Cricetulus griseus: one gene and its partners. The protein of the gene in region 1 interacts with the protein of each later gene in a pairwise test. Links are inferred from orthologs where the notes say so. Each region holds a gene or a part of one and is shown in the gene's direction. Other genes may lie near its edges. The genes, in order: Syce1, Lmna, Cby2, Nme7, Washc3 and Bfsp2.

The links.
Region 2: the proteins of Syce1 (region 1) and Lmna interact in binary tests that used the Homo sapiens proteins (3 or more experiments, as listed by UniProt). The link is inferred for Cricetulus griseus from reciprocal best matches to the Homo sapiens genes SYCE1 and LMNA.
Region 3: the proteins of Syce1 (region 1) and Cby2 interact in binary tests that used the Homo sapiens proteins (3 or more experiments, as listed by UniProt). The two-hybrid records come from large-scale screens. The link is inferred for Cricetulus griseus from reciprocal best matches to the Homo sapiens genes SYCE1 and CBY2.
Region 4: the proteins of Syce1 (region 1) and Nme7 interact in binary tests that used the Homo sapiens proteins (3 or more experiments, as listed by UniProt). The two-hybrid records come from large-scale screens. The link is inferred for Cricetulus griseus from reciprocal best matches to the Homo sapiens genes SYCE1 and NME7.
Region 5: the proteins of Syce1 (region 1) and Washc3 interact in binary tests that used the Homo sapiens proteins (3 or more experiments, as listed by UniProt). The two-hybrid records come from large-scale screens. The link is inferred for Cricetulus griseus from reciprocal best matches to the Homo sapiens genes SYCE1 and WASHC3.
Region 6: the proteins of Syce1 (region 1) and Bfsp2 interact in binary tests that used the Homo sapiens proteins (3 or more experiments, as listed by UniProt). The two-hybrid records come from large-scale screens. The link is inferred for Cricetulus griseus from reciprocal best matches to the Homo sapiens genes SYCE1 and BFSP2.

Annotation. Positions count from the first base shown.
Region 1 is NC_048596.1:60,417,889-60,422,093, forward strand, and holds the start of Syce1 (synaptonemal complex central element protein 1), read left to right. Parts: upstream 1-1,405; 5' UTR 1,406-1,426; coding exon 1,427-1,478; intron 1,479-3,505; coding exon 3,506-3,568; intron 3,569-4,205. UniProt on the Homo sapiens protein: Major component of the transverse central element of synaptonemal complexes (SCS), formed between homologous chromosomes during meiotic prophase. Requires SYCP1 in order to be incorporated into the central element.
Region 2 is NW_023276806.1:66,000,379-66,004,554, forward strand, and holds the start of Lmna (lamin), read left to right. Parts: upstream 1-1,376; 5' UTR 1,377-1,489; coding exon 1,490-1,513; intron 1,514-4,176.
Region 3 is NW_023276807.1:229,960,913-229,965,081, reverse strand, and holds the start of Cby2 (protein chibby homolog 2), read left to right. Parts: upstream 1-1,369; coding exon 1,370-1,444; intron 1,445-1,766; coding exon 1,767-1,847; intron 1,848-2,482; coding exon of another isoform or gene 2,483-2,530; intron 2,531-4,169.
Region 4 is NC_048598.1:27,937,095-27,941,173, reverse strand, and holds the end of Nme7 (nucleoside diphosphate kinase 7), read left to right. Parts: intron 1-3,432; coding exon 3,433-3,564; 3' UTR 3,565-3,579; downstream 3,580-4,079. UniProt on the Homo sapiens protein: Possesses an intrinsic kinase activity. Displays 3'-5' exonuclease activity with a preference for single-stranded DNA. Does not seem to have nucleoside diphosphate kinase activity.
Region 5 is NW_023276806.1:154,206,829-154,211,123, forward strand, and holds the start of Washc3 (WASH complex subunit 3), read left to right. Parts: upstream 1-1,495; 5' UTR 1,496-1,614; coding exon 1,615-1,665; intron 1,666-2,424; coding exon 2,425-2,523; intron 2,524-4,295. UniProt on the Homo sapiens protein: Acts as a component of the WASH core complex that functions as a nucleation-promoting factor (NPF) at the surface of endosomes, where it recruits and activates the Arp2/3 complex to induce actin polymerization, playing a key role in the fission of tubules that serve as transport intermediates during endosome sorting.
Region 6 is NC_048597.1:211,725,067-211,729,282, reverse strand, and holds the start of Bfsp2 (phakinin), read left to right. Parts: upstream 1-1,416; coding exon 1,417-1,905; intron 1,906-4,216.

The DNA of each region.
Region 1 (4,205 bases):
TATTTACTGTACTTTGAAATACACAAACATGTAAGTATTATATTCTCACGTTTCTTCCTTCCTTCCTGTTTTTTTTTTTTTTTTTTTTTTTTTTTTTTTCTGTTCCGAAACAGGGTTTCTTTGTGAAACAGAGCTGTCCTGGGACTTGTGTTGTAGACAAGGCTGCTCTCAAACTCAAAGATCTGCCTGCCTCTGCCTCTGAGTGCTGTGATTAAAGGTGTGCGCCACCACACTCAGCACGTTCTCATATTTCTTAGGAAAAAAATACATGGCTCTCATAAGATAGCAACAGGCATCATATATTGATTGTATATAGTATTATACATGTTATATATTATTATGTATATTATATAAGAGCATTTTAGTCTTGGTTCTCAAAACACAGAGTACATAATTCTTAATATATACTATTTCCCTGTGGCCACCTCATGCTGGGTTATTTATTAACACAGTGTACATAAAAGCACCTCTACGGGCTGGAGAGATGGCTCAGCCATTAAAGGCTAGGCTCACAACCAAAAGCACTTCTACAAGTTATCAGTAACAATCTGAGAACCTGGCATTCATTCTCACTTCTAGAGTGACTGCTGAGTGGGATCCAGGGAGCCTTACTAAATATCTGTTCAGGGGAGGAATTCACCAGATTTCCCCTCATTATGTACTGTGAGAACCCAGTGTGTTCCAGGCTAGGTATTTGATACCTCAGACCGGGACAGGGGCCAGCAAACTACCAGACAAGAACTGTTGGGTTATTCTGGTCTAAGAAGGTCTGTGCCTGGGTCACAGAGACTACCACAGACAAGCAAGGTGAGAGTAGTTTGCCCGGTGGGTGTGGAACACAGCCAGAAGTGTTCACACCTGGGCTGTCCTGGCAGATGGTTTAGGCACGGCACAGAGGGAGACGCCAGGCTTTTTTTGGAGGGGTGGCGAACGGTGTCTTGGGAACTGGGAACTGAGCTGCTTACCGTGTCCACCGTAGGCCCTTGAGGTTCTTTCAGTAGGCATCATGGGTCTGCTCAATACCACTGTTCTGTCCAAGAGTAGGAAATTTCCACGTTCTAACGCTAATCCTAACTCTATCACTAACAACCATAATCTTAAACCTTGTAGAGAGATAGGCCTGCATTCTCGGTCAGGCACTTGCCTCCGAAACTGACCAATCACTGCCTTGGAAGTCTTCACTTCAAATGGGATTAGTGTTTGGTGGTGGTGGTGGTGGAGCAAAACAACAACAACAACAACAACAACAAAAAACCAAAACCAAAACAACAACAAAAAACCTTCTGCGCATGCGCAGCAGCTGGCCGCGTGGTAGGCCAGAGGGACGCGCAGCGTACTGCGCAGGCGCAGTGCGCAACAGCTGCCCGGCTGCTGTGGCCGCTGAGTGAAGTGGAGCAGCGTGGCCACCAGACCGCAGCCGTTGGGCATGGAGCCCAAGGACTCAGCAGACCCGCTCCACAGGCCTGAGGGGGCCGGAGGTAGTGGCTGAAGGGAGCCTGGGTTGTCCTGGCGAGCTGTGGGGTGAGAGGGCCTCCTGTCGAGGCCTGAGGCGATCTGGGCCGGTGGGCGCGAACCCGGCGTGGGCGCGCTGACTGACGAGGCCTGTGACGTTTGAGGGCCTGCTGGCCGCCTCCCTGTGAGGCCAGGCCTAGTGTGGGGTTGTAGCAGGGCACACTCCTCCCGTCACCTTCAGAGCAGGCTTGCACCAGGCCCTGTGGCACCAGGCCTGAAGTCAGGTGGCCCCACGGGAGCCGGGGTCGCCCTTGGCTGTCTAGAACTTGACGCCATCCCAGCGCGCCTAGCGTGTGGGTGGGCGGCTCACCTCTGAACAAAACTACTGTTCTCGAAACCTTTCTGCACAAACGATTTAGTGTCTGTGTACTGGTTCAGTAAAACAGAGAGGCGATGGGCTTAGGCCGTGAGGCTACGCTCCAGCGTGGACGGTTTTGACTCGTTCGTCAATCTTTTCTCCCACCACTCAGGTCCCTGTTTGATGACATAGCACCACAGACAGTAGTGCAACCCCTGAATGTCCCATGTATGTATATAGAGACAGGTACCCGAGGAAAATAACACTATCGCTAGAGCTATATAATAGTGCCAACAATTTCTTTATCTTAGCAAATATCCAGTTGATTTTTTAAAAATTGCTAATTGTTTTAGTTTTTTTTATACAATGCATTTATTTGGATCAAAACCTATTTACAGACCACTTTCTTTCTTTCTTTTTTTTTAGATTAAATAGATGTGTCTCTTAAGACCCTTATCATTCCTGAGGAGTCTTTCTCCCCTACCTCCTTCCCCTTGATGTTAAAAAAAATTCTCTATATAGTTTCCCAGTCTGTATGGTGCCACATGCACGTTTACGGGGGATCTCTAGCCCTTAATTGTTTTTTTTTAGAACTTGAGTTAATAAGTTAATACTTAGTTAATACTTAGTTAATAAATATTAGCATCAGTTTTATAAGAGTTCTTAATAGGGGACATTTTTAAAATTAAGTGACTCATAATGTCTGGTTCCTTTATTATGTTGGTAATGCCACAAACAGTGATTTCTAACATCCAGTTCACCAGATAATTTAAAATAGGTGCATATTGGCTATAAAAATTGCTGGGCAGCAGTGGTGCACACCTTTAATCCCATCACTCAGGAGGCAGAAGCAAGCGGATCTCTGTGAATTCAAGGCCAGCCTGGTCTACAAATGGAGTTCCAGGACAGCCATAAGGGCCACACAGAGAAACCCTGTTTTGAAAAACAAAACAAGACAAACAAAATGAATACAAAATATTACTTTATATGGAAGCTTTATAATCAGTATCAATTATATATTGAGAAGCTATTTGAATGTATGTTTTAACAAGCTCCCTTACTATAATACATTTTGTTTATAGTCAATGTATTTTGGGTAAGACTTTCTTGAACTTCCTAATTGATAATGCTATCAATCCATTACGGTGATTTTTCAACTACTTTCCAGTATTTTAGCAACACCCTCTTCCCCCAGTGGTGACTAAACTCAGGGCTTTGAATATGCAAAGCATGCTCCCTACCACTGAATCCCAGCCTTAGCCATTTGCTTGTTTTAAGAAAGGATCTTTATGTAGCTTAAGGTGGGTTTTACCTTGTGATAAAGGCTAGGGTAGACACAAACTGTTGATCTCCTGCCACTTTCTCTAAGTTCCAAGATTACAGGTATATGCCACCACACCTAGTACCCTAGTCTTTGTGAACTTGACCTAGCTTTGATAACAATCAGCAGCACAAGTGAACCAAATATAGCACTGCCCTAACCTTGAGTTTTGTGTTTCTAATTGCACCATGTAGGAAAAGGCTGTCCATGGAGGGGCCCAACTCACTTTTTTGTATTATCTATTTTGGGACAACCATCAGTAACTCTGTTCTGGTTAGAGATCTGTCCTCAGCTCGTCTCAGTATCAGTTTAGGTACTGGATCCATCTGGCAATTTATCCTGTTGAATTTGAAAGTTTGGTTTTGTCTCCACAGGGCAGAATGTGACCACACAGAAAATTGAAGGCTTAATGGAAATGGTGAAGAAGTTGAAGAAAGGTCCAGTGTCTTTTTTGCTAATGGGCTTACCCTGAGGTTTGAAGTCAGGCAGATGTAGATTCAACTCCAAGCACCACAATTCACAAAAATAAGACATTATTTTATTCACATTAACTTTCTTTAAAACGTAAATTTGGGTGTGTGTGTAGAGAGAGAGGTCATCAGTTAAGAGCACTAACTGCTTTTGCAGAGGAGTGGGTTTGTTTCCTAGCACTCATAAGGTGTCTCACAATTATTAGTAAGTTCAGTTCTAGGAGGTCTGACGTCCTCTTCTGGTCTCTGCAGGCACCAGGCACACATGTGATGGGCTTACATGTATGCAAGCAAAGCACTCATGCATAAAATACAAGTAGATGCTTTTGTACTTAAATTTTAATTTTAAGAAACATTTAATGTGTGTGTGTGTGTGTGTGTGTGTGTGTGTGTGTGTGTGTGTGTGTGTGTGTGAGCACACAGTGGTTCATGCTCACATACGCATACCATTTCAAAGAATGTGTAAGTCAGAGGTTAGCTTAAGGGAGTCAGTTTTTTCCTTCTACCATGTGAGTTTGAGGGGTCAAACTCAGGTTGTCAGGTTTGGTGGCAAGTACCTTTATCCACGGCACCATCTCACTGGCCCCTTAAATTTTAACTTTTG
Region 2 (4,176 bases), on another chromosome or scaffold:
CTTTCTTTTCTTTCTTTTTTGTTTTTTTGAGACAGGGTTTCTCTGTGTAGCTTTGGAGTCTGTCCTGGCACTCACTCTATAAACCAGGCTGGCCTCGAACTCACAAGAGATCCACCTGCCTCTGCCTCCCGAGTGCTGGGATTAAAGGCGTGAGCCACCAATGCCCAGCCTTGTCTTTCTTTTCTTCACATTTAAAAAAGACTTATTAATTTTATGTGTATGAGTGGCTTGTCTGCACTTTGGTGCCTGATACTTGTGGATGTCAGAAGAGGGCAACAGATTCCCTAGAACTAGAGTTATGGATGGCTATGAGCTATCTTAGGGTGCTGGGAATCAATCCCAGGATGTCTCCAAGAGCAGCCAGTGCTCTTAACTGCTGAGCCATCTCTCCAGTCACTCCCCAACACACATACCTTAAAAACAAAAAACATAAAATAGGATCTCACTAGTGTAATCCAGGCTGACTTCATCTGGACTTGTGGCTGAGCACCTTCTCCTGGTTTTCCTTCCTCTGCCTCCCACCTGCTGGGATGCGCTGTCATGCTCTGGTTGTCTGTCTTTCCTTCTTTCCTTCCTTCCTTTCTTTTTTTTTGAGACAGGTTCTCACTGTGGAGCTTAGGTTGGCCTAGAATTTATAGAGATCCACCTGCCTCTGTCTGGAGAGTGCTGGTATTAGAGGACATGCCCCCACCATGACCAGCCAGGCTGTATTTATTTTATTTTATTTTTTTGTTTTCCCTGTGTAGCTCTGGCTGTCCTGAAACTCACTCTGTAAACCAAGGTGGCCTTGAACTCAAGAGTCCACCTGTCTCTGCCTCCTGAGTTCTGGGATTAAAGGTGCCAATCATGCCCTGTCAGGTTGTATTTCTTAAAGAGGGCCTCTCCTACAAAACTCTGTGCTTTAGATAAATTGACCAGCCATCCCAAGATTAGCACTGAACATTCTTTTTCCTAGGAAGTCCCCCAGTCCTGAGAAGAACAAAACAATTGTCCACCCTAGTTCCATGCCTCACAAACATTTTGGTCACCTAGACAAGGATCACCCCCCCCCCCACGCCACCTCACTTCCTGGAAATGTTGGGGGTTGCGGTGAACCGACCCTTTTCTCCTGCTGGCAGCCTGCAGTTGTGGCGCTTCTGTTTGTTTCCTTGGCAACAGGGAAAGGAAACCCCCATTTAGGAGGCCGGGGAGGCCCCAGCAACCACACACACAGATACACACAGGCTCACATGCGGCCGCCCACACGCAGTAGCGTGCGTCACCCGCCTTCTGCACTGCAGCCGCCGGCTGTGCAGGGAGCGGCCCGCCAAGGAGCAGCCGGGATGCCCGCCCCGACACAGTCGCCGGAGGACGGGCAGCCATGGGCCCCGCCCCCGGCCTGCCCTTTCCGTTCAGATTCCCCGCACCCCCACCCCATCCCCCAGCTGGTGCTGCGGAGGCTGGGAATAGAGTGGAAAGCAGGCGCTGAGGAAGGCCTTCAGCCCCCAGCATGATCTTTGTTTGGTCTAGTCTGGTGTGTATTGTATGGAGGGGTGAGTGTTGTGACAGTCCTCAGAGCTCGAGGCACCCAGGTGGAGGGAGGGAGAGGTGGTTTGGAACGCAGAGATGGAGCGCCTCCTAGGTAGGAGCTAGCTCCTGGGCACACTACAGTTTGCTGTTGGGTTGGGTTCCCGCCTAGTGTTTAGGAGTTTCTTATGTCACCTGTCAGCTATGTGGCCTTGAGCAAATCAGTTAACCAGGTCAAGCCTCCCATTCTTTTATCTGTAAGATGGGGATAATGGTACTTGCTTGTGCTCCTCAGATTTTTGATTGTGAAAGGGTTGCCAATCAAGAGACCTACCAGGTGTGAGGTATGAGTGGCCCCTCTCTTCCAGCTGCACCTACCCTCCTGGCTGGAGCAGTGAGATCAGCTGCTCCAATTTCATAGGAAGGGCAGTGCCAGCCGGCTGGTGGGCTCTCTCTGCTGAGGTCGTGTAGTATAGGAGCAGAGCCTGTCTCCGGGGAATCTGGAGAGTGTAGCCCACCCAGGTCATGTCTTTTGATCCTTAGTCCTCAGAGGCAAACTTTTGTTGTTGTTTGTGTGGTTTTTTGTTTGTTTGTTTGTTTTTGAGACTGGGTTTCTTAATGTAGCTCTAGCTGTCCTGGAACTCACAACGATCTGCCTGCCTCTGCCTCCCAAGTGCTGGGAGTAAAGGCATGTGCCACTACTGCACAGCATATGTGTGTGTGTGTATGTGTGTGTGTGTTTGAGACAGGGTTTCTCTGTGTAGCCTTAGCTGTCCTGGAACTTGTCCTATAGACCAGACTGGCCTCAAACTCAGAGATCCCTTGTCTCTACTTCCAAGATTAAAGGTGTGTGACACCACCAACCTTGCTTTTTGCTTTTTAAAATTTTATTATTATTATTTTTTAAGGTAGAGTCTCACGCAGGAAGGTAGTGCAGACCAACTTCTGTGAGTTCAAGGCCAGCGTGTATTCTGTATTCAAGGAGTGAGTTCCAGGGCAGCCAGGGCCATACAGAGAAACCCTGTCTCAGAAAAAAAAGAAAAGAAAAGAAAGGAAGAATGATTGTTTTTCTTTTTTCTTTTTTTTCTTTCTTTCGTTTTTTTTTTTTTTTTTGGTTTTTTTCAAGACAGGGTTTCTCTGTGTAGCTTTGGAGCCTATCCTGGCACTCACTCTGGAGACCAGGCTGGCCTCGAACTCACAAAGATCCGCCTGCCTCTGCCTCCCGAGTGCTGGGATTAAAGGCGTGCACCACCAACGCCCGGCTTGATTGTCTCATTTAAGTCTCATGTAGTTTATGCTGGCTGTAAACTTGCTTGCTATGTAGCCGAAGACAACTTTGAACTGCTAGCCCTTTGCTTTCTCTGCCCAAATAACAGAATTACCACCATCCCAGGCTGCAGGAACCCATTTATGAAGATAAGGTTAGGGTTTGGGGACCTCTTAAGGGAGTATAAGGGACTATCAGAAAGGGATTCTAAATGGCCAACTAGTGAAGTTTCTGTTTTTTTAGTTTTGGGTTTTTTTTTTTTTTTTGCGTGGGGGGGGGTGTAGACAGGGTTTCTCTGTGACTTTGGAGGCTGTCCTGGAACTAGCTCTTGTAGACCAGGCTGGTCTCGAACTCACAGAGATCTGCCTGCCTCTGCCTCCCTAGTGCTGGGATTAAAGGCTTACACCACCACTGCCCAGCTCATTGGAGTTTTGATGAGACTTCATTTAAATAAGAGGTCTGCAGGCTTTACAAATAGTTGTCAACCACTTCTCTTAAGGACCATCCTTGCCCCACCCACCCCCGCCCCAATCAGCTCCTGAGTCCCCTTGGGAACATACTCTGCTTTTTCCTGCCAATTTCTCAACCTTTCAAGAGTTTGCGGCTTCTGGCATACCAAGTATAGATAATAACGTCATAAGGTCAAAGTGAAGATTAAACAGGTTACCTCCACATGGCCCTTAGCTGGGCCCCTGTTGCATGCAACCACTTAAAGAATGGGTGAGGTCTCCCATTGTAGAGGTGATAACTATCACCTGTACACACATGATTCATCAGTTCAGCAGTGTTTGGTCATATATACCCTGTAATCAAAGGAAGAATAAGTCAAGGACAGCCCTCAGGAACTCCCTCTGAAGGGATTCCCAAGCCACATCTTAGGTTTTTAAATCACCATCACCTCTTTCTTTCACAGTCAGCCATTCCTACCCCGTGAGGGGCAACACTGTCTCTGCAGTGGTCTGTGGTTCCACCTGACTCCAATCCCTCTCATGCCTCCTACCAGAATCAAAGCCTAATGTTAAGATCTCAGTCTTTGGAGCTAGACTAACCTATATTAAAAGTCCAGTTTTGCTACTAGCCATATGACATTAGACAAGTGATTCTTAGATGGGGGTGATTTGGTCCTCCCCCGGGGATATTTGGCAATGTCTGAAGATGTTTTCTGATTGTCCTAACTGGAGACAGAAATACTATTGGCATTCAGTAAGTAATATTGTGAGACGCTGCAAACACCTTACTCTGCATGGTCTCTCCTTGGATAGAGAAGCGTCTGGCTGGAGATAGCTGTGGTGCCAGGGTTGGGAAGCCCTGTGTTACACAGATCACTTAGATCTCTGGGCTTCACTTTTCTCATCTTCAAAGCAAAACTAATAATGTATTTACTTTGCTGAGCTATGCTAGAC
Region 3 (4,169 bases), on another chromosome or scaffold:
ACAGAGGAGAGGCTACCTTAAATGCTCTCCCGTGATAATGAGATTGATGACTGACTTATATGCCATCCTATAGCCTTCATCCAGCAGCTGGTGGAAGTAGAAGCAGACACCCACAACTAATCATTGAACTGAACTGGAATCCAGATGCAGAAAAGGACGAGTGAAGAGCAAAGGGGTCCAGACCAGGCTGGAAACCCACAGAAACAACTGATCTGAACATGGGGGAACTCTTGCTCCCCAGACTGATAGCTGGGTTACCAGCATGGGACTGATCCAGACCCCAGGAACATGGGTTTCATTGAGGAAACCCCGGAAACCTACTCTCTTCCTACCCCAAGGGGCAAAATCACACAGAACTGGGGCTCTTAAATGGATCTGGAGGTGACAGATTTGACAGAGCTAAGGATGGAGGGATGAGTGTTCTGGCCTTAATGCAGGTTCTACATGTGATATGTTTGGTTGTATTTTTCTATCAGAACAGTGTTTCTTAAACCCTTGGGATTTCCTGACAGGACCTCCTTTGAAACACATCAGTTTATGCTAGGGGAATGACTTTGGGGGTGGGGGGTGATTGTCAGAGGAACCAATCAGGTGATTAGAAGGTTGGAATTTTCAGCAAACGTCTACCTCTGGAAGGATTTGACATTTAGTTAAGTGATCAAAGGCTAATGATTTGATAAAATTTGCCTACATAATGGAACTCCACAAATACCTCTAAACAACTGGGTTCAGACATTGAAGATGCTGGGAGGCAGGTGTGTCCAGAGAAGGCCAGAAGGTTTACGACACTACCCTGTCAAACAGCTCACCCTTTATCATTACCATTTGGCCCCTCCTGAGCTGCATGCTTCTTAAAGTTGTGATCCTAAGTAAATTACTCTCCTGTGTTCTGAGAGACAGCTATTGAACCTGAGGAGCAGCTTAGGGTAACCCCTGCATGGCTAACCAGTTACAAGTACAGGTGGCCCTGATATGGGATTGGTACTTGAAGTAAAAGATCATCTTTTAGGGCCGAGCCCCTAACTTCTCGGAACCTGACATGTAGCTATTATCAGAGTGGAACTGGACTGGAGTTCCTCAGTAGTGCCAAGTCTCTCCAGGTCTAGACAGTTAATGTTTCTCTTTTCCTAATTAATGTGATTGAAACAGATGCCACCTCTGATGGGAGGTAGAGAGGTTCAAGCCAGCCTGGCAGTGAGGTGTGAGTGGCAGCCAGCTGACCAAACAAGGGCTATTGTGTGTCACACTGACCCGGGCTGGCCACCTGAGCACAGCCAGCAGCAATTCTTCCTTCCTGCAGAAGCCTCGTTCCCACCTGAGATGCCCGGAGAGAAACCATGAGCTCAGAAAAACACCATATTGTTCTGTGATGTCACCTCTGGAATGTTCTGAGTGTTTTGGTGACCAGCTTATGCATAGGACCTATACCTGGCACCTCACATTGGTATGGCTTTTTACTTATATAGAAATCGTAGTGTAAAACCAGGAAGAGCTGCAATGATTTCTTCTTGTAAGAGGGCTTCATATCAGTTCATTCCTGTCTTGGTTTTTTGTTCAGTGATCAGTGTCGATCAGTTCCTGATCACTGAGCAGTAAGACTTCTGGCCAGGCGCCATGTACACATGCCTTGAGACTGTGATTTTTATAAGGTATAAAATTAGTCAGAAGGACATAAATGTGTAGAAAGAGGTTATGTGTTTCAGGTGAGCCACTGAGGCCCTGAGGATGGGTTGAGAAGGAGAAATCTGATTCTTTCTTTTTCACAGCACTCGAGGCCAATTTTTACAAGAAAGAGAGATACCAGATCTGAAAGCCTAGAAATTCCAATCAATGTGGTTCTACCTCAGGTAGGGACAATCATGGAAGAATGTAACTTGCTAGAATAACCCTGTTTCCAAGCCTTACAGAATGAACAGCGAAGTCAGCCACTCAGATTCTTGTCATGTTGGTGTTGTTTTCCTGCCCATTTGTCTTGAGGAGGACACATGGATTCTCTGAACCTTGGGGTCCTCTGGCCTTGAATGAGGAGACTGAGTTGGATGGTCAGGTCCTCCAGCACTAGCCTTTCAAGATTTGTTGATACTATGACAAAAGTCTAACCTTCCCAAAGGAGACCCTTCATTGCATGGTAGTGTATAACCACTCAGGACATCTGTAGAGAACTAGAGTCAACCTTGAATCCAGATGCATAAGAATGAACACAGGAGCTGAAACCCCAGAATGGAGCCCACTTGCAATGGTCAAGAGGATTAAGCCCTGCCATGGGCCAAAGATGGTTTACTGGGGATGAATGTTCACTTGTTTCTTTTGAAGCCAGTGAATGATTAAAACACTTATAGCTTGTGGTCTCCAGATCTCCTGCACACAGCAACTTTCTCAGTGGGACCCCCTTTTACTTGAGTGTTCCTTCTGTTGCTATGTCACAAAGGGGTGGCCTTGCTTTCTCCAGTGTTACCCAAGAGCTCATTGGAAGACCAGGGTCATGCAACCAGTGGAGGAGAAATGTAGGATGGAGGGATCCAAGGCACAGGTAATTTCCCTAAAAGTTTGGTCTCAGGAGGTATGTACAAAGAGGATGGATCTCTGGCTGGTGTTCTCTATTAGTGTAATTATAATGAGCTCAGCAAATATGGTGAGAAGGAGACAGAAACACAGGACAAGAGAACCACCTGGGTATTTTTTTTCCTTACAGCATTGTAGTAAGCAGCCACAGTTACATCTCTTTCAGCTCATGATAGCTAAGCCAGATTATTAGGCAACTATGTCCTGGGCATCCTATAGAAGAACAAGGAACCTTGCTAGGTCTGATCCCTGACACATAAACTACACATCTGTGCATGAGGGTGGCCGTGGTTCCTTTGGTACCTTTATTAGCCCACATGTTAGGGGCAGACAGGAGATACCAGCCCAGATGTGGGAGTGGGAATGGGGCTGGGAATAAGATTTGAAAGTAGGTGTATTACTTGCTGTTCACATTGTTGTGACCAAATACCTGGCAAGAAGCAAGTTAAGGGAGGAAGTCTTTATTTTGGATCTTGGTTGAGGGGTAAATCTGTTGTGAAGTGGAAGCTATGGGGTGGGGCCGCTGCCTCACATCACTGCAGATCCATGTTTTTCTCAGTCCAGGATGCTAGTTCATGAGCACTGTAAGACCCTTGGAAAGCTGAGGCTTCCAGAATCTTAGCCCAGGACCTCGGCCACCCCAATCACAGAATGGAGGCGAAAGCTAGATGCAAATTGCATGAGGCTTTATTGTAGTTTAACGAGCTAACACCATGTTAGCTCGGGTCTTTGACCCACCCACCATGGCAGATGGCTAGCAAAGACAGTTTGAAGCTGCTGCATACAGATCTTTATAGGGCAGCATAAGGGGAGTGTTTAGGGGTATGCACAGGCTCAGGATTGGTGTGCCTCCAGGCTTGGAGGGTTTGCCCTGTGTTGATTGGTCAACTGGCTGTTATGGCCCATAGGCCCTCCCAGGGTGGTTGCTATGCTTTGTGCGTCATTGCTGTGCGCTTGTCCATAAAGCACACCCAGGGTCATAAAGCATAGCGCTATCAGCTAACTTCTGATTGGCTCCTTGTCACGAGGCAGGCATCTGACTTTCTAGTGACTAACTTCTGATTGTTTCCTTGTCACGAGGCAGGCATCTGACTTTCTAGTGACTAAGACAAGGTCATAGAGCACGTGTTTGGTCATTATGGCTGCCAAAAGGGAAGCTGGTCCCTTCAAGCACTAGCCACATTAAGTATGGGCCTCCCCTCTGTTAGTCCTTCCCCATAAAGTCCCCACAGACACATCAAGGATGTGTGCCTTGCTAATGCCCTGGGTGTTTCTTAATCTAGCAAGCTGACACAAAGCCTTCATTACTGCCATGCCATAGAAAGATTAGAAAGATCCATCTACCCCTGGCATGACTTTGTCCCTAGCTCCCAGCGCCAGCTTAGCAGTCAAGGAGAAAAGGTGTTTGAGGAGTCTTGGGTTTGTTCTGGTCCTTTCAGGCCTACTTCCTGTGCTGTGGGACCTGGATCTTGGAAGGCAGAAGAATATGGAAGGAAGAGGTCACTGCTGTCTGGAGATTTTTCATGGCCAGCCAGGCTTAGTCAGCAGTCATCTCTAGGTCACTTAAGTAAGCAGCTGGTGTTGAAAAGCAGGAAGAGGATAATTCT
Region 4 (4,079 bases), on another chromosome or scaffold:
TCTACATGAATACCATTCTTCCACAGCCTTTGCTCTGTGCGAACATTGGCTTGTATTTTATGTTAGTTATTCAATCTCCAGTGGCTAGATATTCAATACACTGTACTCAAAAAAGTAATGACAATACATTAAGGGATAGCTCTGTGGCTAATATTTTAAGTACATAGAGTGCATCATGACTCAGACTGTATCTGGGTTTAAACTCCAGAATTGCAACTTGCTTGATATTTAAGAAAGTTGTTTAAACTCTTGTACCTCGATCCTTCATTATAAGACTAGGATAATAATCATAATACTTATTTCAGAGGACAGAATCAGGCACAAATGTTTGTGTTAAACCAATATGAGCAGATTAAATCAGGGACTGGAGAGACGGTTCAGCCCATGCTGCTCCTGCAGGGGACCCAAGTTTGAGTCCCAGCTCACGACTGTCTGTAACTCCTGCTCCAGTGACACCTCTGCTCCCCATAGGCACCTGCACTCACAGCCACACATCCAGCACACACACACACACACACACACACACACACACACACACACACACACACACACTTAAAAATGAAAACAAAATCTTTTTAAAATCTACTTTGATCATTGAAAAATAAATGTATTAGAATTAAAAATGGCTATAATATATTTTTAAGAAAAGCTCCATTCTTTAAATTTAAATATCCTAAATAAAGGGAACATATATTACACTTTACCAGTGTGTGTGTGTGTGTGTGTGTGTGTGTATGTGTGTGTATAACTACTGTGTGTGTATATATGTGTGTATAATGTGTGTGAAATATATATATACACATCTGGTGTGTGTATATATACCAGTTTATAACGTCTCATAAAAGGTGCCATTTAAAATTGATCTTGTTAGATAGTTCCCTTCCTCATTGTAAAATACATGAAAAATTAAAAATAGAGATGGTAAGAGAGAGACTGAATATGAAAGACCTGGGCAACAGAAGAGGCGACGTACGTGTGTGTGTGTGTGTGTGTGTGTGTGTGTGTGTGTGTGTGTGTGTGTGTCTGGAGAGAAGGTAGAATGAACTCTATGGTAGGACTCCAGGCATCTAATGCTTCAGTGTCAAGCCAAGTCAGCAGCTAAGTCATGACGAGAGACTTCTGAAAGTGGATGGAAAAGAAGATGCTTAAAAGGACAGGGCTGATGGGGCCCACTCCATGAACACTTCCCAGCCCCCCAAGTTTATGTCCTAGTCTTGGAGACCTGCCTGTCTTCTGTTTCCCTTCTCTCTACATGTAGCCAAGGCATCTGTCCAGTGCTAAGATCCACCCAGCACAGAGGGGTGGGCCTTGGGACCAAGAGCCTCTGCAGAGTCCTGGTCTATGGCTTCTGTGTCCTTTGGGTGCTCAGTTTTCTTCACCCTTTTATTCCTCTCTTGCCACATCTATCACCCTGGAGCATCAACAAATGAACAGCTGGTTCATTCACCTGCTCTGAGTCCTCTACCGCAGCCTGAGTGGGGTGGGTCTCCTCTAGCCATCTGCACATGCTCAGATGTTCCCTCCTCCTCAGCCTCTACCCAGGGACAAAGAGGAATGGTTGTGACTTTCATGGAACACCTGATAGGTGTCAGGGTTTTTAGCTGCTTTTTACAAATTATACCCCAGCTGAGGTAAGACTTCAAGTGTAATTTCACTATAAGGTACAACTCACTCTGCTTTCACCACATAGAAAACACACAAAAATCTGGTTCAAACACTGTCCTTTTAAGAAGAAATGAGAAAAAGAAACTTCAGAGAGAGAGAGAGAGAGTTGCATTTGGTGTTTGAAACACAAGCCTGTTCCCTTGCAAGAAATCCAGTCTCTATGCTAGACCTAGCTATTTTGGTTTTCTTTTTTTTTTTTTTTTTTTTTCCAAGACAGGGTTTCTCTGTAGCTCTGGATGCTATCCTGGAACTCAGTTTATAGACCAGGATGGCCTTGAACTCACAGAGACCCACCTGCCTCTGCCTCCTGAGTGCTGGGATTAAAGGTGAGTGCCACCACCTCCCAACTAGACCTATACTTGTTCCTTTGGTTTTCCTTCCTCCATTCCTTCCTTCCTTTTTTTGTATTTCATTTCATTTTATTTTATGTGTGTTTGTGTTTTGTTTGCATATGTATCCGTGCACCACATTCATGCCTAGTCCCTACAGAGGCCAGAAGAGGGCACTAGATCCCTGGAACTGGAGTTATACATGGTTGTGAGCTGCCATGTAGGTGCTGGGAATTGGTCCCAGGTCCTCTGAAAGAGCAGCCAGTGCTCTTAGTCATTGAGCAAGCTCTCCAGACCCTCTTTTTTTTTTCTTTCCCAACCTCTCTTCTTACCATATAAACTCTGTTGCCTGTCACTTGGCAGCAAGTGAAACTCATGGATCATTTACTTTAGCAGCTGAGGTTTGAGAGGTGCAAGGTAGCTGAGCTGATAGGAAGGGACCAGAAAGCAGTTCTGTCTAGACAAGCAAACATCTCTACTTGCTGTGTCCTATAAGCAGAATCCAGATGCTGTTCCATTCAAAATAAGTAATGCTTGTCTTTATTTTTTCTAAATTTTATTTATTTAAAAATGTGTGTGCACACATGCGTGGGAGCGCATGCAAGCCATGTGTGTAGTTACCCACAGAGGTCAGAGGTATTGGGTCCCCTGAAGCTGGAGTCATAGGCAGTTGTGAGCCACCTGACATGGGTGCTGGGAATCAAAGTTGAGTGGCCTGGAAGAGCAGTATGCACTCGTGACTGCTGGGCCATCTCCCTAGCATAACTTGCCTTTATTTTTACTTTGATGTCTTCAGTAATGCTGATACTTCAATTTAAATGAGTATGACATTTTCCTGAGATTTTACCATGGTAGATTAGAAGGTAAACAAAGGTCCTTGAAATCCAGGGTAATGCCAGCAACCATTTCTCCATTAGCTGTGGCCTGTCATCAAGATGCAGCTCTTCCTTTTGATAACAGGGTCCAGAGAAGCTAGTTTGCCTTCTGACTCTTAAATTTGCCCTTCTTATAGAACATGAAAATATTTGTTATAGGCTTAAGATAAGTATTCTGTAGCTAAATGACAGTTATTAAAGATCAGGAAGGCACCCCATCATAAACTGGAAACAAGTTAGAAGACTGGCTCATCTAGATCTAGATCTACAACAGGAGCACTGTGCCATGCAGATATGTCCTCTAAAGAAGTGTGTGACTGAAACATTAACCTCTCAGAGTTAAACATCATTTAAAACCAGCAAATAAAAAGGTCCCCCGCTGATTTCATTTCTGAAAAGCCTGGAAGCGAAGAACCATAGCATTGTCAGAGTTTATTATGATCAAAAAGAACTGACAAGGGGGGAGGTATTAAAAGTAGCACAGGTGCAGGTGGCTGACTTTGATCAGGTCTCAAGCAAGGGAGAAAGTGTTCTTTCTGATTGGATGCATTTGTGTCTCTTAGCCCAACACATCTGATGCATCATTCACGCTAGTCACCGCCACAGCTGTCCAGGCTCCTCATCTACTTAGCTCTGAAAACCCGAGGAGGAAGGTGAAACTATCTACTCATTGGCCTTTGCTCTCTGCACTTTGACCCCAGCTCCTTGTCTTTGATCTGCACATTGTCCATTTCTTAGTGACTAAGTAAGCGTTTCTGAGGTAATAAGTAACTCTCTGTAGCTAATTAAAGGTCTTCTGCGAGAACTTAGAAAGGGGCCTAAACCATTGATGGCCTAATCAAATCCATCCTCTTTTATGAATTCATTCAGAAATATTACTGCTACTCCTCTTTTTGTCCGTTAGGAGTTGTGTTTCTATTCTGATTAGAAAAAAGCCAGAGGAGTAGTATAACAGGGAAAGTATTAGGCCTAGGGTTTTCAAAGACAAGTAGACTCAGCAGGTTTTCCAGATTGTTCCAAGCTTTTAAAGAACTTAAAAAGATTTTACTTCAAATGTTCAATGCCTCCAGCATAGTGGAGATATTGATACTCTGTGAGCAACTTTTTGTGAAGTAAAGGGGAAAGAAAGAATTTCCTACTCTTGATTAACCTGAACGTGAGGTCAACCACCCAGGAGCTACCAGACAAAATCCTGATGTCATCATTTCAC
Region 5 (4,295 bases), on another chromosome or scaffold:
ACTGCCCCTGATTGTCACTAATATGAATAAAATACTGTCATACAGCATCACGTGCAGATCAAATCTTTCATGAGAATAGTAGTTAATCAATTCCTCATATTAATTGCTGGCTTACTTCAAGAAATTCAATAAATGGGGCATGGAGCTAAACTAAATAATTCACAAAAGATGAAATACAAATGGCTGACAAACATTTTTAAATGTTCACCATCCTTAGCCACCATGGAAATGCAAATTATTGTGCTGAAGACCACAATTCACAATAATTCCAGGGAGTGGTGTTGAAAATGCAGGAATCAAAATTATACCTAAAAGGGATCCTGATTTGGTTTGTCTGAGGTTAATCTCTGGAGCAGGCCTTTTTGTTTTTTTTTTGTTTTTGTTTTTGTTTTTGTTTTTGTTTTATTAGTTCTAGTTAGGGAAGAAGCTTATTTCAAGTCCCTTCTCCCTCTCCCTCCCCCACCCCCAAACCTCCTCCCCCAGCCCACCCCCCACCCCCATCCACCCACCACTCCCCAGGCAGGGTAGGGCCCTCAACGGGGGCTCTGCAAAGTCCACCAAGTCTTCCTATGGAGCAGGCCTTTTAAGAAGCATTCCCAACCAGCGGCCCATGAATCCCATTTAGAAAAACATGGCTCTTATTCTGGTATAAAAGGTCCTTCATCAGCTCTTTGTGTCTATTTCCGTCTTATTTCTCATTATTCCCTATCTCTGCTAATACCACCAAACAGCTTTCCCTTTGCCCTCCATACTATACTCCTCATTCCAGATTGTCGTGTTTTGTTGCTGTTGGTGTTTTGTTTGTTTTTTGAGATAAGGGTTTCTCTGTAGCTTTGGAGCCTGTCCTGGAACTTGCGCTGTAGACCAGGCTGGCTTCGAACTCACAGAGCCTCCCGAGTGCTGGAACTAAAGGCGTGCACCACCAGTGCCTGGCTCCAGATTGTCATTTGGGGGTGGGGATGGGGGTGAATTTCAAAACAGGGTTTCTCTGTAGCTTTGGAGGCTGTCTTGGAGCTCAGTCAGTAGACCAGGCTGGCCTCAAACTCACAGAGCTCCACCTGCTTCTGCCTCCAGAGTGTTGGTATTAAAGGCATGCGCCACCACAGCCCGGTCAGATTGTCATCTTAGCTCTTCTTAAAGTTAAGTAGCTACTAAAGCTGGTTTCCTCTTCTTTGCTTGGACAACTTAGAAGCGCCTATCGTCTACAGCACCACAGTGCTTTGAGTCCATGTGGGTGCATGTACCCATGGAGACACAAGGGTTTGTATATGTTAATTTACAGTGCCACAACTTTCACCTAAATTTTGCACATCAAGATTCTGCATGTCTTCACTATTCTTTGGAGGCAGAGGTCCCCCCCACCCCTAAAATAGCATCAGCTCTTCAGCAGTGATTCTCAGGCCCGCTTTACAATCAGCTCCTTGAACTACCAATCCCAGAATGCTGAGCGAGAGTGAAGGGGCGGACTCTCTGAAGCCACTGATTGATTGGTGGGCTCGGGATCTTTCTTCCGGAAAGGCCCCGGAGGCAGGAACTTGGGAAGGGGAGTCGGGGTTTTCTACCGGGCTGTGAGGGGCTTGTGCCTGAGCCCCGGTGTCCCCATCTGCTGTGGAGATGGATGAGGATGGGCTTCCTCTTATGGGGTCAGGCATAGACCTGACCAAGGTTTGTAAAAGATGACTTAAGCTTCCGGCGAACAGGGAAGTAGCTTGGCCAAGGGGCCCCGGTTCCCCGGGAGACACCACCTCTCCAGGCCCAACCCGGGCCCCTTTTTGCTAGCCTAGGGAAGGGGGAGCCCCGCAGTCCACTTTCGAAGGGTTCCCTCCTGAGCTAATTAAAGAGTTGATGTGCCTCGCAGCCTTCGCTCCCCACATCATGTGACTCTGAGCCAAGGCTGACAGTCTGGAAATAGTGCCACTTCTAACACTACCTCTCTGATCCTCAATCTCTCTCTCTCTCTCTCTCTCTCTCTCTCTCTCTCTCTCTCTCTCTCTCTGCCCTCCTCCCTCCTCCCTCCCTCTCTCCCTCCTCTCTCTCTCTCTCTCTCTCTCTCTCTCTCTCTCTCTCTCTCTCTCTCTCTCTCCCTCCCTCCGTCTCCCCCTCCTCCTCTCCCTCTCTGTCTCTCTCCTCTCTCCCTCTCTCCTCTCTCCTCCTCCCTTGCTCCCTCCCTTGTGTGTGTGTGTGTGTGTGTGTGTGTGTGTGTGTGTGTGTGTGTGTGTGTGTAGCACACTCTCAAACTTTTGCAGCCCCTGTCACTTTGACACACACACGGTTCAGGAAAACAAGTCAGGGACTGTTCTCAGCCCTCCATGAAATTCATGTCACAGGGCAAAATCATAGTCTTTACGAAACAGATATCGAGAGGATTGCACAGTGTATGTCTCTCCTGTAAGAATCATATTTGCTTGTTTTTATGTAACACAGGTGCCAGCTATTCAACAGAAAAGGACCGTGGCCTTTCTAAACCAGTTTGTGGTGCACACGGTGCAGTTTCTCAACCGGTTTTCCACAGTTTGTGAGGAGGTAGGTCCAGGTCCTGTGCTACTACTAGTTTATGGAGTAGTTGAGAAGTCATCTTCCACCTTTCAGGTTAACAGAGCGAAGCAAAAATTACAGCTTTCATTTATTCACATTGCCAAGACCTTCTCCAATTGTGTTAAGACACCTTGGCGTCTCTTCTATTCTGTTACCATCAGTCCTGTATCCCTCAACTGAATTCATATTCTAGGCGTTTCTGTGAGCTCAATAAAGTTTTTTATAATTATGAGAAACACACACAAATAATTTCACAGTTGAATTTTTTATTTTAAAGTTTTTCATTTTCCTACTCCAGAGTTTTATATTTTAAGTATATGTTTGTGTTTATATTAAATTACTTTGCATTCTTTGAGCCAAAGTGGTTCAGGGAGGAAGCCTAGAAATACATTTTTTTAAAAAAAAAATACCCTTCTGCAAATGTCTGGATAACCTGTGCAGTAAAAATTAAACACATAATTAAGAATTAGGTGCCAGGTTCAGGACCCCCGCCTGATCTTTGAGAAAGGTTTTTATTTGGTTTGGTTTGGGTTTTTTTTTTTTTTTTTTTTTTTTTTTTTTTTTGGATGAGGAGGAAAATGGAGAATATATATTGAAACTGAATTTAAGAAAGGAAATAGAAGAGATTTCTAGATTAGTCCCAGCTGAATCAATGCAATGTTATCTTATATTGTCTTATACAAGGCAAACCCTTAACAAAGTTAGATATGTAACTGTTAATCAGGATTGCTTGCAGATAGGAGACTTGTCATTTGTGTAAAATTCGAGCTGTTTATAAAGTTGTGGATTCTGAGTAAGGTCTTGAATGGGGTAGGCATGCACTCTGCCTCTGAGTAACATTGATAGTCCCAACTGTTGTTTTTATTTCTTCATCACAATGTCTTTAGCGTTTCCTCCAAATGTAATCACTAATGATATAGTGAGGAGTCTCTCTCTCTCTCTCTCTCTCTCTCTCTCTCTCTCTCTCTCTCTCTCATTTGTTTTGGTCTTTTCAGAAATTTAAGATTTACTTTTATTTTATGTGTGTGAGGGTCTCACATGTTTGTCTGTCCACTACATGCATGTCTGATGCCTACATGGGTCAGAAGAGGGCATGAGATCCCCTAGAACTGTTGCTATGGACAGTTATGAGCCACCATGTGGATGCTGGCCGTCAATTCTGGTTCCTTTGCAAGTATGAGTGTTCTCAGCTGCCAAGCCATGTTTTCAATCTGGTCTCTCTTATACCGTTGCTTCTCTAAATAGAAGCACTGGTAGAACAACTAACCACTAAACTGAACTGGAATCCAGACGCAGAGAAGGACAAGTGAAGAGCAAAGGGGTCCAGACCAGGATGGTGAAACTCACAGAAACAGCTGACCTGAACATCAGGGAACTCTTGGTCCCCAGACTGATAGCTAGGATACCAGCATGGGACTGCTCCAGACCCCAGGAACATGGGTTTCAGTGAAGAAACCTCGGAAATCTACGGGACCTGCTGTAGTAGTTCAGTACTTATCGCTAGCATAGGTGTGGACTTTGGGAGCCCATTCCACATAGAGGAATACTCCCTGAGCCAAGACACACAGGGGTGGGTTTAGGCCCTATCCCAAAGGGTATGATAGACTCTGACGACACCCTATGGAAGGCATCACCATCCAGGGGGAGCAAAAAAGATATGTGATAGGTAGAGTTTTAGTTGGGGGGGGTAGAAGGGGAGAATGAGAGGGAGAAGGGAACTGGGATTGCCATGTAAAACAATCTTGTTTCTAATTCAAATA
Region 6 (4,216 bases), on another chromosome or scaffold:
CTGCCTTCTAAAGTTGGATTGAAAAGTCAGTGAGGTAAAGAGTGGAACTGTGCTCAGAATTTGAGTATACTCAGTACCTACCAGAAGGTGACTCCCGTTCCCGTCTCTTGACTCAGGTCCATCCTCACATTATAGGGTCAAGGAGTATGTCCATCTCTAGACCTGGGATGCTTAGTTCCAATACACTACAACCTGAGCACATTCCCAGGCTGGAGGGACCATTCTAAGCCCCCAAGAAGTGACTGGGATGTGACCGTTGAAAGTGTGACTTGGAGTATGCCAAAAGCAACGATTAAAACCTGAGGTGCCCAGCAACCCTAACTTGTAGCACCCATGAGTGCTTTCCAGAAATTGTTTTGTTGTTTTCAACTTCCTAGTCTTATTAGAGGAAGACACAGAGGTGGAAAAGAGCAGAGCCTAACAAACAGCTTCCCAGAAGTTCAGGTCCTAAACTGGCTCCAGAGCATCTGATGTGTCAGAATTAGCAATCAGGCAGATGTACGGCAAGGTCTAGAGGAGGAGAAACATGGCCAGGGCCAGCAGCTGACAAGCATTGTGTCAGAGGGCAGACATGAGGGGGGGAGAGAGAAGCTGGAAGGGGCCTGGAACGGCTGCCAGACCTGAGGGCAGCAGGTTGCTTTGTTTCCCTTGGGTCTCCTGGGCTGCACCTTTGTCCATGGCTGGCTCACATCCACATCCATCCTCTGATCCTATGTGGATGTACAACATGAACACGCATGTGCACACCCCTACCTCAGCACGTCAAGGGGTGTGGAAAGTCCTGCAATCGGTCCTGAGGCCACTACAATGAGTCCCAGCTTGTGCTGTGAGATATAAAGTGATCAGTACACTTGTCACCCAAGGTCCTCAAGCCTGTTTCCTTACCGGTGAAACAGAACCACTTATTGCCTGCCCGACTCTCTCTATGGCAGTAACATACACAAACCCACGGGCTGGGGATATAGAGGTCGCAGAGTATTCACCTAGTATGCATGAGACCCTGGATTCTATTGCAGGGATTAGAGGCAAAAGATCAGAAGTTCAAGCTCATCCTGGCTACATAGAGATTTTAAGGCCAGACTCAGACACCCTGTCTAAAAAGAAATAAGACAAATCTAGAGGATCCGTTCCCACAACCTGCACTGCTCCAGCACCCTCACCCCAGCAGAAAAGTCTGGATTGGTTGGGCACATGACCCAGCATCAGAGAACGCCTGTGTGCCTCTCACAGGCTGGCGGGGTGGTTCTCTTCTGGCTCAATGAACAACAGAAGCTCATGGAAGGCAGTAGACAAAGAACACGGGGACAGAGGAGCTTCCAGAGAGGCCCGTGACCAGGCCATGGGGATGCTGGGACTAGCAACCAAAAGCCACTGAACTCTGTAAACCTGCCAGGCACCACAGAGGCAGAGAGAATGATGAGTGAGAGGAGAGTGGCAGCGGACTTGCCCCCTGGAGCCAACTCCAGCATGCCCCTGCAGAGGCACAGGGTGTCCCTCAGGGGGACACGGTCTCCATCCTCCCTTGAGAGCCCCCCAGCATCCAGGACCAGTGCACTGGGTAGCCTCATCCGTGCACCTGGGGTCTATGTAGGAGTAGCACCCAGTGGGTGCATAGGTGGCCTCAGTGCCCGAGTGACCCGTCGGGCTCTGGGCATCAGCAGTGTCTTCCTGCAAGGTCTACGGAGTTCAGGCCTTACCACTGTCCCTGCTCCAGGCCCAGAAAGGGATCACACTGCTGTTGAAGACCTGGGGAGCTGCCTAGTGGAATATATGACCAAAGTGCATGCTCTTGAACAAGTCAGCCAGGAGCTGGAAACACAGCTGCGGGCTCACCTGGAGAGCAAGGCCAAACGCTCTGGAGGCTGGGATGCCCTCCGGGCCTCCTGGGCCAGCAGCTACCAGCAGGTAAGTCCTCCAGCTGTTCATCTAAAGGCTTGCTAGTGTCCTGAGAGGGGGTGTTGGAGGCTACAGCAACAGTGGTGAGTAGTCTGAGGCCGGGAGAGCTCACCCCTTTCGTACCAAAACTGCTGGTGGTCTAATGGTAACATTGGCTGCCATTCACTGGGGCTGACTAGGGGCCAGGACCCCTCTAGGTGCACATGCACCACCCCCAAAACATTCCAGTAGTGCTCTGTGACCAAACTAGCACGGCATACACCTTTCAAATAAGAAAACCTGTGTAACACGGTCCAAGTCCACAAGCTAATAGAGTAGCAGTTCTCAACCTGCAGGTGGTAACCCCTTTGGGGGTTTCTTTGCAGATATCCTGCATATCAGGTATTTACATTACAACTCATATCAGTGGCCAAATTACAGTTATGAAGTAGCAATGAAATAATTTTATGGCTGGGGGCCACCACAACATGAGGAACTGTATTAAAGGGTCACAGCATTAGAAGGTTGAGAACCACTGTAACAGAGAGGGGCAGTCACTATCTAACCTGGATTTTCCTTCCTCCAAAGTTGCATTGGTCCTATTATCTGGGACTGCCTCTGTCACAGTTACTTAAAAGGTTTTCAGGCCACCATAGAACCAAATACCACTGAATGGATGTGTTTTTTTAAATGATGACTAAGTGAAGGTGTGCTCCTGTACCCACATACATGGTATCAGTGTGAATATGGACCATACTGGTAATTTTCAATTTCCTATTACATGCGTGCCTGTGCGCGCGCGTGTGTGTGTGTGTGTGTGTGTGTGTGTGTGTGTGTGTGTGTATGTATGTGTAAACACAAATGAAGTTGGCATTAATATTATCTTATTTAAATCAAGATAGCAAAAATTATTTCAACATGAAATCAATATAAAAGTGCCAGCCCAACAGTGGAGATTTAAATAGAACTTTCTGGATGGTGGATGGAAACATTTTACAGTATTGGCCACCTATTGTGTGACTCCTCTTGCACAGACATGAGCCAGTACTTTCACCCCAGACAGGGCACCATCAACAGATCAAAGATTCTACCAAAGTCTAGCTTGGGGACCAATGAGTTTATTGGGGTTAATTACAGGAGAATAACAGAATCAAAGGAAGAATCAAGGCACATGGGGGATGCTCATGAAAGCTGCACCCCTGGAGCAGCTCCCTGCCCAATTTGCAGGCAGCCCTATGCAAGTCTCCCTTCCCCAACAAGGGTTTATCACATATATAATTGGGGGTGGTGAATCTTACAACTTCCTAAGCTCTGTAAGTTTCCTGGACCTTAGGAACCATCTCCTCCCAGAGGGACTACAATTCAGAAAATAGCTATGCAACACCCTCTGTGGCAACCGAGTCCTTGGGCTATGGCTATGAGACTGAGAACTTGATATTTTTTGTGTTACTTGGATTTTATTCCTTCTGATCACTGTGTACAGTAGACAGTCATCTTTCTGGGCAGGGATGCAGAGGGCTCCTTTTCCTCACCTGGTCAGGGCTGTGTCGTGTTCTCTGAGACAATTTCTGCAGTGCTCCAAGCTCATCCATCAATTCTGCCTGTAAGCTGTGGTCCTCGGGGCTAGAATCCTATTGGCATTGCTTATCTCAGCTGGTCACTCCGTGGGTAGCCGACTTCTCTCTCCCCTTTCTCCCCAAATGCTGGCCTTGGGATCCCTGCACACTAAACCAGTCTCTTATCCCAGCCAGAAGCAGCCAAATCCTGGTCCCATTTGCTCCCTGGAGTCAGGCATGCAGCCTGAGAGGTTACAAACTGTACTGTTGGCTGATGCCTGGGGCATACACAGAATCCCCATTTCATCTCACTGTTCTCAGCACCCTCACCCTCCCCTAGAGAAGGAGGGTGCAATACCATCTTTCTGGCTGGTGCAGCTGTTCTCAAACATCCAGGGAGGGCCTCACAACCTGTCCAAGAGGTAGCCACCCCTCAGGGAATCCACAAAACTATCTGAGTCTTAAATATTGTATGACATATTAACCCCTAGAACATCCCAGATATTCCAACCTCAGCAGCATCTACTGGACGGTATGATACCCACGTGCCAGGAAGGAACCAACATCTCAGTATCGTGGTTAGAAAGTTCAGCCATGAAATTGGCATGATAGCTTTCATAGTGCCAGACGGTGCTATGCAGACAGAAGAGAAAAAAGTTGTTCTTTTTACAAAAGAAGTTTTACAAAAACTTCTATAGGGGCGCTGGTGGTGCACGCCTTTAATCTCAGCACTCTGGAGGGAGGCCAGCCTGGTCTCCAGAGCGAGTGCCAGGATAGGCTCCAAA